Linked DNA regions of Sus scrofa. The main gene of each other region encodes a partner of the protein of the gene in region 2 in a complex. Links are inferred from orthologs where the notes say so. Each region holds a gene or a part of one and is shown on either strand. Other genes may lie near its edges.

Region 1 (4,274 bases), on a different chromosome or scaffold from region 2:
GATGCATCTCTGGGGTTATTAGCTGAGTGCGTGTGGCACAGAGTCCCTGTGGCAGCTTCCGACTGCCCGTGTCTCAGCCAAATGTGTGGGCAGCAGTGTCCCCTTGAGGGAGGCCAGTTCTTGCACCTGTGCCCTGAACCGCTTCACAGACTAGCCGCTGTCTTCTGCACTTCAGCCTTCCTCCTCTCTTGGCCCATCTCCATCAACTTTTAAAAATGCTCTTGTCTCTGCTATGCACACACTCAAAAGACAAACCACACACACACACACACTCTCTCTCTCTCTCTCTCTCTCTCTCTCTCTCTCTCTTCCTCGATCTCATGCTATTTCGAGCACTGTCTTGGTTTTCCTTTGTCTCTCTCTCTACCAAACTTCTGATAAGTTTTGTCAACACCCCGTGGTCCCCCTCTCAGAACCCCTGCCTCATGGCCCAAACTTCAGCCTGTCCCAGTCAGGCCTTCACAGCCACAGCACCTTCTGAGGGCTTCCTTGTCACCGAGTCTGAAGGATGCCAGTCTCTCCTCATCCGACCCCATCCTCATTTAAACTCAGTGGGTTTCTAAATGAATCATCTCCTCCTTCAAACCTGTTTCTGTGTCTCTGTATCCCTCTCACAATATAGGCCCAACATCCAGCCAGCTGTCCATGTCAGAAACTTGGGTGTCACCTCTCGCCCTCTTCTCACCATTTCTAATAAATCATCAAGTTCTGTTGATGCCACTTCCGGAAGCGCCTCTCAGATCCATCCATTTCTCTCCATCCACTGCCAGTCGTTTCGTCTGAGCCAGCATCATCTTTCGCCAGGACCAGTGTCATATAAGAACCTTCTAAAGGAGGCCCCTTTCCTGTCTCTTGTCCTCCAGTCCATCCTCTGCTTTGCAGGACTAATCCTGGCAGTAGTACTGCAATTTTGGCAGCTCCCACAGCCCTCAGGATAAAACCCGCACGTCTTAGGTCCACACGGCTCTCTGGAAAGCTTCCAGCCTGTTCTTTAGCCGAGTATTCATCACTCTCCTCTCCGGTACTTGTCTCAGGCACTCAGAAACTATGACACACCGAACAAAACGGCCACGGACCTAAACTCTGGGTGTTTGCATCTACGATTCCTTTGCTTGAGATGCTGTTTGCCTTATCTGCCTCTTTGCTTGGCTGGCTTTCCCTTGGCTTTTTAATTTTTAGTTCAATTTATGCTTTACTGCTTCAGGAGGCCAACTTTGATTCCCAAGGCTGGGCCAGGCTGCAGGAATGCCTCGTCTGTGTTCCCACACCCCTTTCAAGGCACTGCCTGCCTTGACTGGCAATTCTCTGCTTACTTGTCTGTCTCTGTCACTAAGCTGTGAGCTCCCTGAAATAGGAGCTTTGTCAGTTTTGCTCTCCTCATGTCCCTAATGCCTAGCGCCATCTCTGGTTCAATAAATATTTATTGAATAAAAGAACCTCAATGTAACAACAAGAGCGCGTGTAGCGACCGATCTGAGAAGCATGCGATACTTTACGGGGGGGGGGGAATAAATACTTGCATTACAATTTATTCCCACTTTCCCTTCCTGAGCTTGGAATCATTTCCTTCTGCTTAACACTCTTCCCTCTCCTGGCATCCTATTTCTTCCTCTTCTGCCCATGGAACTTGAACTTCAAGGAGCCCTCTGTGAAGTTTTCAGACCCCACCTCTTTGACTGCCCATGATTTGCTTGCTTTCGTTGGGGAGTCCCACGCTGATGTCATTTTCCCATTGGTTTTTGTCTCCTGCCTGCACTGGAGATGAGGGTCCAGCCTGGGTCTAGTGCATCCCCGTGTACCCAGCCCGTGGCCCCGGGACTGTCATTGCAGGTGTCCAGGAACCAGTTAAGAAAGAAAAGGTACTGGAAGGGGAAAACCATGACTTGAGCTGGGTCGTCAAGGAAATGTGGGTGTTGGCTGATGGCAAGAGTGAAAGTCACTTTGGGGACTGGGTGTGTGGAAGCAGTGGGGGTTGGGGGGGAGGTGGCACAAAGGGATAGGATGATGAAGTGGGCAGCCGGGCTGTAGGAGGGTGAACCCTAAGGGGAGGTGGGCTGGAGGAGGGGCTTAGAAAGGACTTGGAGACAGCAAAAAGCAGGGGGGTTTAGAGCTTTGAGAAGAGCTCCCACTTGGGAGGCAAGGGGATTTGAGGATGAGAGAAATGGGGACAGCCTCCCCCCCGCCCCGCCCCCAAGCAGTCCCCAGTCCCATGTCCAGCCTAATTCAGGTTAGGGGTACTCTTGCCGGGTGGCAAGGGGTTGTGGGGGGGGGGCGGGGGGACGCAGGACACTGTAACTCAAATTCCCACGCAGGCCTTCTGGAGTGCTCCCTCTCCGAGCCAGCTCCCCTCTTACCCCAACCTCGTCCTCCCACCTCCCTTCCCTTCCCCGTGGTGGCTCCCCGCACTGGGTGTAAAAGGACAGGAGAGACTTGGGAAGATTGGCCAGGGGCGGTCCTCCCCTTCCCCATCTCTGACTAGGAGGCGCTGCGTTTTGGGGGTGACCAGAAGCTACAGGGTGGCCAGGGAGCAGGGCGTGAAAGGGCTCTGACCAGGTAGTGCGTAGGTGCGATGGAGTTTTAGGGGGACAAAGGTGGCAGGGGAGCTGTCTGGGGACTGAGGGGGGTACTCCGAGGGGACAGCGCGGGCGTCCGACTACCTCTGTCGGCCTCGCGGGGTGCAGCGTGGAGGGGGCTCGGGGAGGCACCCACCTCGGGTCCCGGCTCCGCGGATGCGTGGGGGCTCGCAGCTGAGATTGCCCGCGCCGCTGCCGTTGAGGAGGGGGCCCTCTGGGCGGCACAGGGCAGCCCCGGGCCCGGGGCCCGGCAGGCTCCGGTTCAGCTTGAGCAGCTCCATGGCCCCGGCCCAGCCGCCGCCTCCCCGCGCTCGGCCGGCCGGGCTCCCGCGGCCGCTCCACCTGCGCCCGCGGCGCCTCCGGCCGAGGCTCGCGCCCCGCCTGGTCCCCGCCCCAACCTCGAACCCCGCGCCTCAGCGCCTCTTCTGCCCGCCCCGCCCGGGCGCGGGGCCGCCTCCGTCCCGCCAGGTGACTCTCCCTCCGCCCTGCTCCCCGGCTCCGGACTTATTTCCACGCCCCCGCCCCCGGCCACCCCATGTGACTGTCCTCCAGTCCTGGGAAGATTTCCTTCCCGCCCACTCCCCTCTACCACCGTCTCGGTTCTGGGAATTCTCGTGTGTGTGTGTGTGTGTGTGTGTGTGTGTGTGTGTGTGTGTGCGCGCGCGCGCGCGCGTTGGGTTGGATGGAGAGGTTTCGGGGAGGAAGGTTGGGAAGCAGCGATCCTAAGAGGGGTGGGGTAGGGGCGCGGCTACCTTGTGGCACCGAGAACGTGGAGGTGGCCGTTGGGACCGGGTTGGGCTGGGGAGGGGCGGTGCACTGGCGGCCGCGCTGATGCCCTGACCCAGCGGAGCACTGCAGGTGACTTACTATGTCGCAGTGGCCGCAGGGACGGCGACACCATCGCTGGCAGTTCCCTGCAGCTCCTCGCCGCCGAGCTGGGGTAGCCCCTCCACCTGCTCCCGCACCCCTGCTCCGACCTTAGGCCCAACACCCAGGCTTCTGCCCAAAGGGCCCAAGAAGCCCTACGCAACGGTGAGGGTGGGGAGAGGGCGGCATTTGTCCCCGGGGAACCCTGGTCGGGGAGAGTGATGTCCAGAGGAGGAGTGACTCGGGTGTTGAAAGCGGCGTGGGTAGAGGTGAGAGCTGCCCGGGATGAAGGCGGGTAGGGTGGGAAGCGAGCGAGTGGGGCACGGTTCCATCCCCTGCCGAGTGTAGGCATAACCTGGGCAGAGGCGGCTGGCTTCGGCCCTGGTCTCCAGGCAGCGCCCACCCTCACCCGACACACTCACGCTCCCTGTTTGCAGGTGGAGCAACCTGTTGTAGGGCATGGGGTTCCCACGGGAGGGGGCAGGAAGGGGGCGAGTGCGCCCTGGTGCCGCGGGGACGAAACCCAAGGGTGCATGCAGCACCGCGGTGGGCTCAGCTTCTGGCATAGGACTTGCCTCCTCTAATATTTCAGCCCTGCGGGATATCATTCTTCTTCATTCCAAAGAAAGGCTCTTAGGACCTGGAATTCCATTCTCCAGCCTCCAGCATCAGCTGTCAGAGGCGAGAGTTCTTAGTCCGTGAGCACATTAGACGGGGGCTGAAGTCTGAGTTTGGGAGTTCAGAGTCTTGTTCAATCCGTCCTTTGGAGAGGACTCAGTCCCGGGAGCACGGAGTTTGTAGGGGGTGGGAACTGAAGGAGGATTTAATCCTGAG
Region 2 (4,320 bases):
GGCACTGGGGATAGTTGGGGATACCCGGGGATAGGTGATCAGTCAAGCTGAACTGGGTGGTGAGGGAGAGAGGGCATCTCTGAAGTAGGACTGATATCAGCAACTCTGCTCCCCCTACCAAGCTGTCAGGAAAAACTCTTTTGCCACTGTGCTCCACATCTGCCTCTGCCCTGGTGACAGTGACTGTGCCGGCTCGCTGGCAGGGCTACCCAGGACAGGAAGGAGCCAGTATGCGGGTGGGGCAGCAGGCGTGGTTCTGGCTGGGAGGGAAGGCTGGCAATTGCCCAGCCTGAGTCCCGTTGCCTGGACAGAGTCTTTCCCGCTACGTGGGACAGGAGCCCAGCACTCTGAAGCTGCCTCAGCTGGGCTCAACTGCATCACCTCCCTGTGCCTGGATGGAAAAGGGATGGCCAGCCAGGACCCTTCCCCACGCAGCCCTGGCAGATCAGGTCCTCAATTTCAGGCAAAGTTTGGTGGCCCAGCCCCTTTGGTGGTGCATCCTCTCCAGCCCCTTTGGTGATGCATCCTCTGCAGGATCTTAGCCCCCAACCCCCACTCCACGAGGGCCCTGTTTTCCCCATCCTGGACACAGCACTCCTCTGGCCCAAACCCAGGAAGCCCATTTCACAAAGGAAGAGAAGGCCAGAGGGCCAGGATGCTGAGATGGACTCCCCAGCCTAGAAAATGCTGAGCACCCCTGGTTGCTGCCAGCCCAGTATGGGAGGGGTCTCCAGGCCCAAAACAGGAGCTGGGGTTCAAGGAGCAAGACTGGTGGGATAGGGTCAAGACGCGGAACAGGCCAGAGGCTCTGTGTGCCCCAGCTCCATGGCCCAATTTCAGGTCTCCTCAGGAGCCACCATAACTGCCATCGGCCTGGAAGGGGCTGGCTAGAGGCCCCCGGCCGGGCACTGGGAGGCAGCAGTACCGGAAGCACCATCCCCAGGCCCAACGGGCAGCAGAGATGGGCATTCCACCGCGGTGACACCCACTCACTGCCACTCACTGCCGCTGCCGCACTCGCAGCAGAGACAGGAAGAGGCAAGCGCCCAACGCAAAACAGCCCAGGAGGCTGGGCCGCCGCCCCTTCCCGCCCCTTCTCTTCCTCCCCGCAGCGGCGGCGGCTGAGCGGATGCCATTTTGAAATCTCCGGGGCTGTGCCCCTGAGGCCGGGCCCCCAGGGACAGTCAACAGATGAGCCCAGGATGGAAGACATCCTGTCTCTCAGCCATACGCCCGGCGTGAAAAGCCCCACTTTTCACAGCCTGGGGACCCCAAGACAGCTCTGGGGATGAGGGGCCACACCCCCCCACATATACAGTCCAGCCTCCAACGATGCCAGGAGGGTCTCCCTCCCCTCTCCCCCTTGAAATCCCTCTAAATCAGGCTGCCACTGGGCACCACACCTGCTCGCAGTGGGAGGCTGGACAGGGACCACTACCAGACCCACAGTCTTTGCACAAGTCCACTTCAGATGCCCACCCTAGAGGGCCCCCAACTATTCAACCAGCTGGTCCACCACTCCCTCCCTCGCAGGGCAAGATCCGACAAGCCCACCTACTCCCAGAGGCCATGTCCCAGGCCGCTGGGCCCAGAAGGGGTGTGGGAGGCCCACACCCGTCAGCAGATCTCCTTGGCCTGCCCGCCGGGGGCAGCAATATGTCGGCTGTCTCACCACTTCCACTTCCCCCCACCCCTCAAGCAGCCACCATCTTCCCTGGCCTTGGAGGCCACGCAACCCGAACTCCTCCACACTCCTTCCTACTCCCAGACACCCCCTCCCCCCACCCACCGGCCCAGACAGGGCTTAGAAACTAGGAAGCAGATAGACAGCCCGCAGAACTCTCTGGGAAGCTTGAGGCCTGGTCCCCTCCCGGATGTGACCAAGTGGAGCCTCAGTCCAGCCCCCTAGGTGTCTGGGGCCTGTCTTCCCAGCTCAGCCTACCTGGTGCAGGAAGAGTGGGGGAATCTAGAAAAGACCAGAGTGTGAGAGAGGACTTAAGAGCTGGGGAGCAGAGGATCTGAGGTGAGATGCATGCAGAGAGGGAGTCGGTGAGGCAGAGGCAGAGCAGGGAGCAGGGGGGGGTCTCTAAAGGCTGGAGGGAGAGCTTATTAAGTAATCATCTCATTTGATAAGTTCAAACCAAAATCCCACTTGAGAGGTCTCTTGGGGTCAAGGTGCACAGGTGGAGGATATAGGGTCTAGAATGAAGATGAGGCACAGAGGGTAAAGGAGGGAGTGAGTGGGGGCCTGGGAGGGGCCCCTGGAGATACTCATGCCCAATAGGAAGAGGGGGAGCTAGTGAGGGAACAGGTGGTGCCTGAGGATGGGGTCTGAATGGGATTCTGGGGGTTTGGGTAAAGTCTAGGTAAGGATGTAAAGACAAGGCAGAGGCTCCGAAGGTCTATGAGGCTGGTCAGTAAGGGTGGATGGTCAGACAGAATTCTGGGCAGCGGATGTTGAGGCACCAGTGTCTGGGTTTGGGGGCCCGGGGTTTGGGATGAGTTGAGTCTGATCTAGAGTCTGGGCTCTGGATCTGAGAGGTCTAGGCCAACCCTGAGTTTTGATCCATTATTTATTTGTATGTCCTTGCCAGGCGGGTCTACGGGGTTAAGTCCAGGCCGAGTGTGGGAGTTCGAAACACTAGTCCGCAGGTCAAAGTAGGGAATTTGGGTAGGGAATCAGGGGTCCCAGCGCAGGACGCGGCCTCACCCAAGAGCAGCAACTTCACCTCCCGCGCCGCCTTCTCGCCGTCTTCCCGCAGGTTCTTGTCGATCATTTTGGAGCGCTCGGCCGCCGCCTTGTCCTCAGCGCTCACGGTGCAGCCCATCCCGCCGTCCGCCGGCCCGGCCGCTGCCCGGCCACCACACGGCCCCGGCCCGGCTCGGCCCCGCCCGACCCACTCGGCTCCCGCCGCCGCCGGCCCTCTACGGGTAGCTCTCGGGTCCGCAGTTCCGAGCGTCTGCAGGCGGTGCCTTCCAGGCCGCCGCGCACCGACGGCAGGGCGGGCCGGGGGTGGGGCCCGAGCTAGTCTGGCCGAGGACTGGGCCGGGGCGGGCCCGGAGGCGGGGCCACAGGAGACCCGGGGTCAGTGATTGGCTCGAGGGAGAAGTTAGGCGCAGCCCAAACTCGGTGCGGGCTGAAGGCGGAGCCACGCCAAGGGATAGCTGTAGGGGTAGAGCCTAGCACAGAAGCTTTGATCGCAGGCGGGGCCGGGCTCCGATTGGGTGCGGAGCGCCTGGAGCTCCGCTGCCCGACGGCGGGGGCGGGCGGATCTCGTAGCCCGAGGATGAGGATCCGGTGCACCTCGCGGGCCAAGCAGGAACCAGCCCTCCAAGCTTCTGAGAGTCGAGCGAGATGAGTAGAGGAGGCGTGTCTTCGTCATTTGTTAAAGTTAATGAACCCAATAAACTTGTTTTGGGATCTACAGCGCCCCGGAGGCTCTCTGGACTGCCGCTTTTCTTCGTCTTAAAGTGGGTTTGGCCCCTTCTCTCTCAAAGCTGCAGTTAAAAAAAGAGAGATAGAGACAGAGAGGAGTTCCTGTCGTGGCTCAGCGGAAAGGAATCTGATTTGTACCCACGAGGACGCAGGTTCGATCCCTAGCCTCGCTCAGTGTGTTAAGGATCCTGCGTTGCTGTGAGCTGTGGTGTTGGTTGCAGATGCGGCTCGGATCCGGCATTGCTGTGGCTGTGGCGTAGGCGGGCAGCTGCAGCTCCAATTTAACCCCTAGCCTGGGAACCTGTATATGCACCAGGTGCGGCCCTAAAAAGACAGAAAAAGAAAAAGAAGAAAGAGAAAAAGGTCTAATGCCACCTTTGCCCAGACTATCTCATTCAACTGGGATAACTTCTCTAATCATCCAAGACATCCATCCTTTTCTGATTTTCTGGGAGGTATTCTCCTGCAGGTAGCCATCCTGGGACTCCAACCTGGGACCCAGCAAGCATGACCCAAAGAGGAGAGAGAGAGGGAAAAAGATAGGGAGAGATGTCACCTGATGCAACGAGGCCCCAGTTCAAAGACAAGGAAGGTTCACAAAGCCAGGAAGGGAACTGGCCACCAATATTTGGTCATCAATGCTTGGCCACCCACAGTCTTTTTCAGCATAGACTTCCTCCTCACCATGTTGGCACACACCTTGCTTCAGCTCCCTTGTGTGTGTGTGTGTGTGTGTGTCCGTATCTCATCTGCTCCCTCCTTGAGCAGCCATTGTCCTCCAAGCCTTCCATTGGTCTCCCCAGGGCTCCCTCCTGTCTGGAGCCAAATCTCAGGCAGGCCCTGCATGCAGCAAACCTGTTGAAAATACACAATGCCCTCCCAGG

The links. Proteins that work in one complex are often made in the same cells at the same time.
Region 1: the proteins of GNAI2 (region 2) and CCKBR are in contact, whole or in part, in a cryo-EM structure (PDB 7F8V), measured with the Homo sapiens proteins. The link is inferred for Sus scrofa from reciprocal best matches to the Homo sapiens genes GNAI2 and CCKBR. Residues at the interface, in NP_002061.1 of Homo sapiens: Glu28, Ala31, Arg32, Glu33, Val34, Lys193, Leu195, Thr220, Phe337, Thr341, Asp342, Ile344, Ile345, Asn348, Leu349, Lys350, Asp351, Cys352, Gly353, Leu354, Phe355; in NP_795344.1 of Homo sapiens: Thr87, Thr89, Arg152, Ala155, Ile156, Pro159, Leu160, Ala162, Arg163, Val164, Thr167, Ser169, Ile241, Gly248, Leu249, Lys328, Val331, Leu335, His394, Arg396.

What each region holds. Positions count from the first base shown.
Region 1 is NC_010451.4:3,416,569-3,420,842, forward strand, and holds the start of CCKBR (gastrin/cholecystokinin type B receptor), read right to left. Parts: upstream 2,946-4,274; 5' UTR 2,855-2,945; coding exon 2,710-2,854; intron 1-2,709. UniProt on the Homo sapiens protein: Receptor for gastrin and cholecystokinin. The CCK-B receptors occur throughout the central nervous system where they modulate anxiety, analgesia, arousal, and neuroleptic activity.
Region 2 is NC_010455.5:32,711,381-32,715,700, reverse strand, and holds the start of GNAI2 (guanine nucleotide-binding protein G(i) subunit alpha-2), read right to left. Parts: upstream 2,829-4,320; coding exon 2,711-2,828; intron 1-2,710. UniProt on the Homo sapiens protein: Guanine nucleotide-binding proteins (G proteins) are involved as modulators or transducers in various transmembrane signaling systems.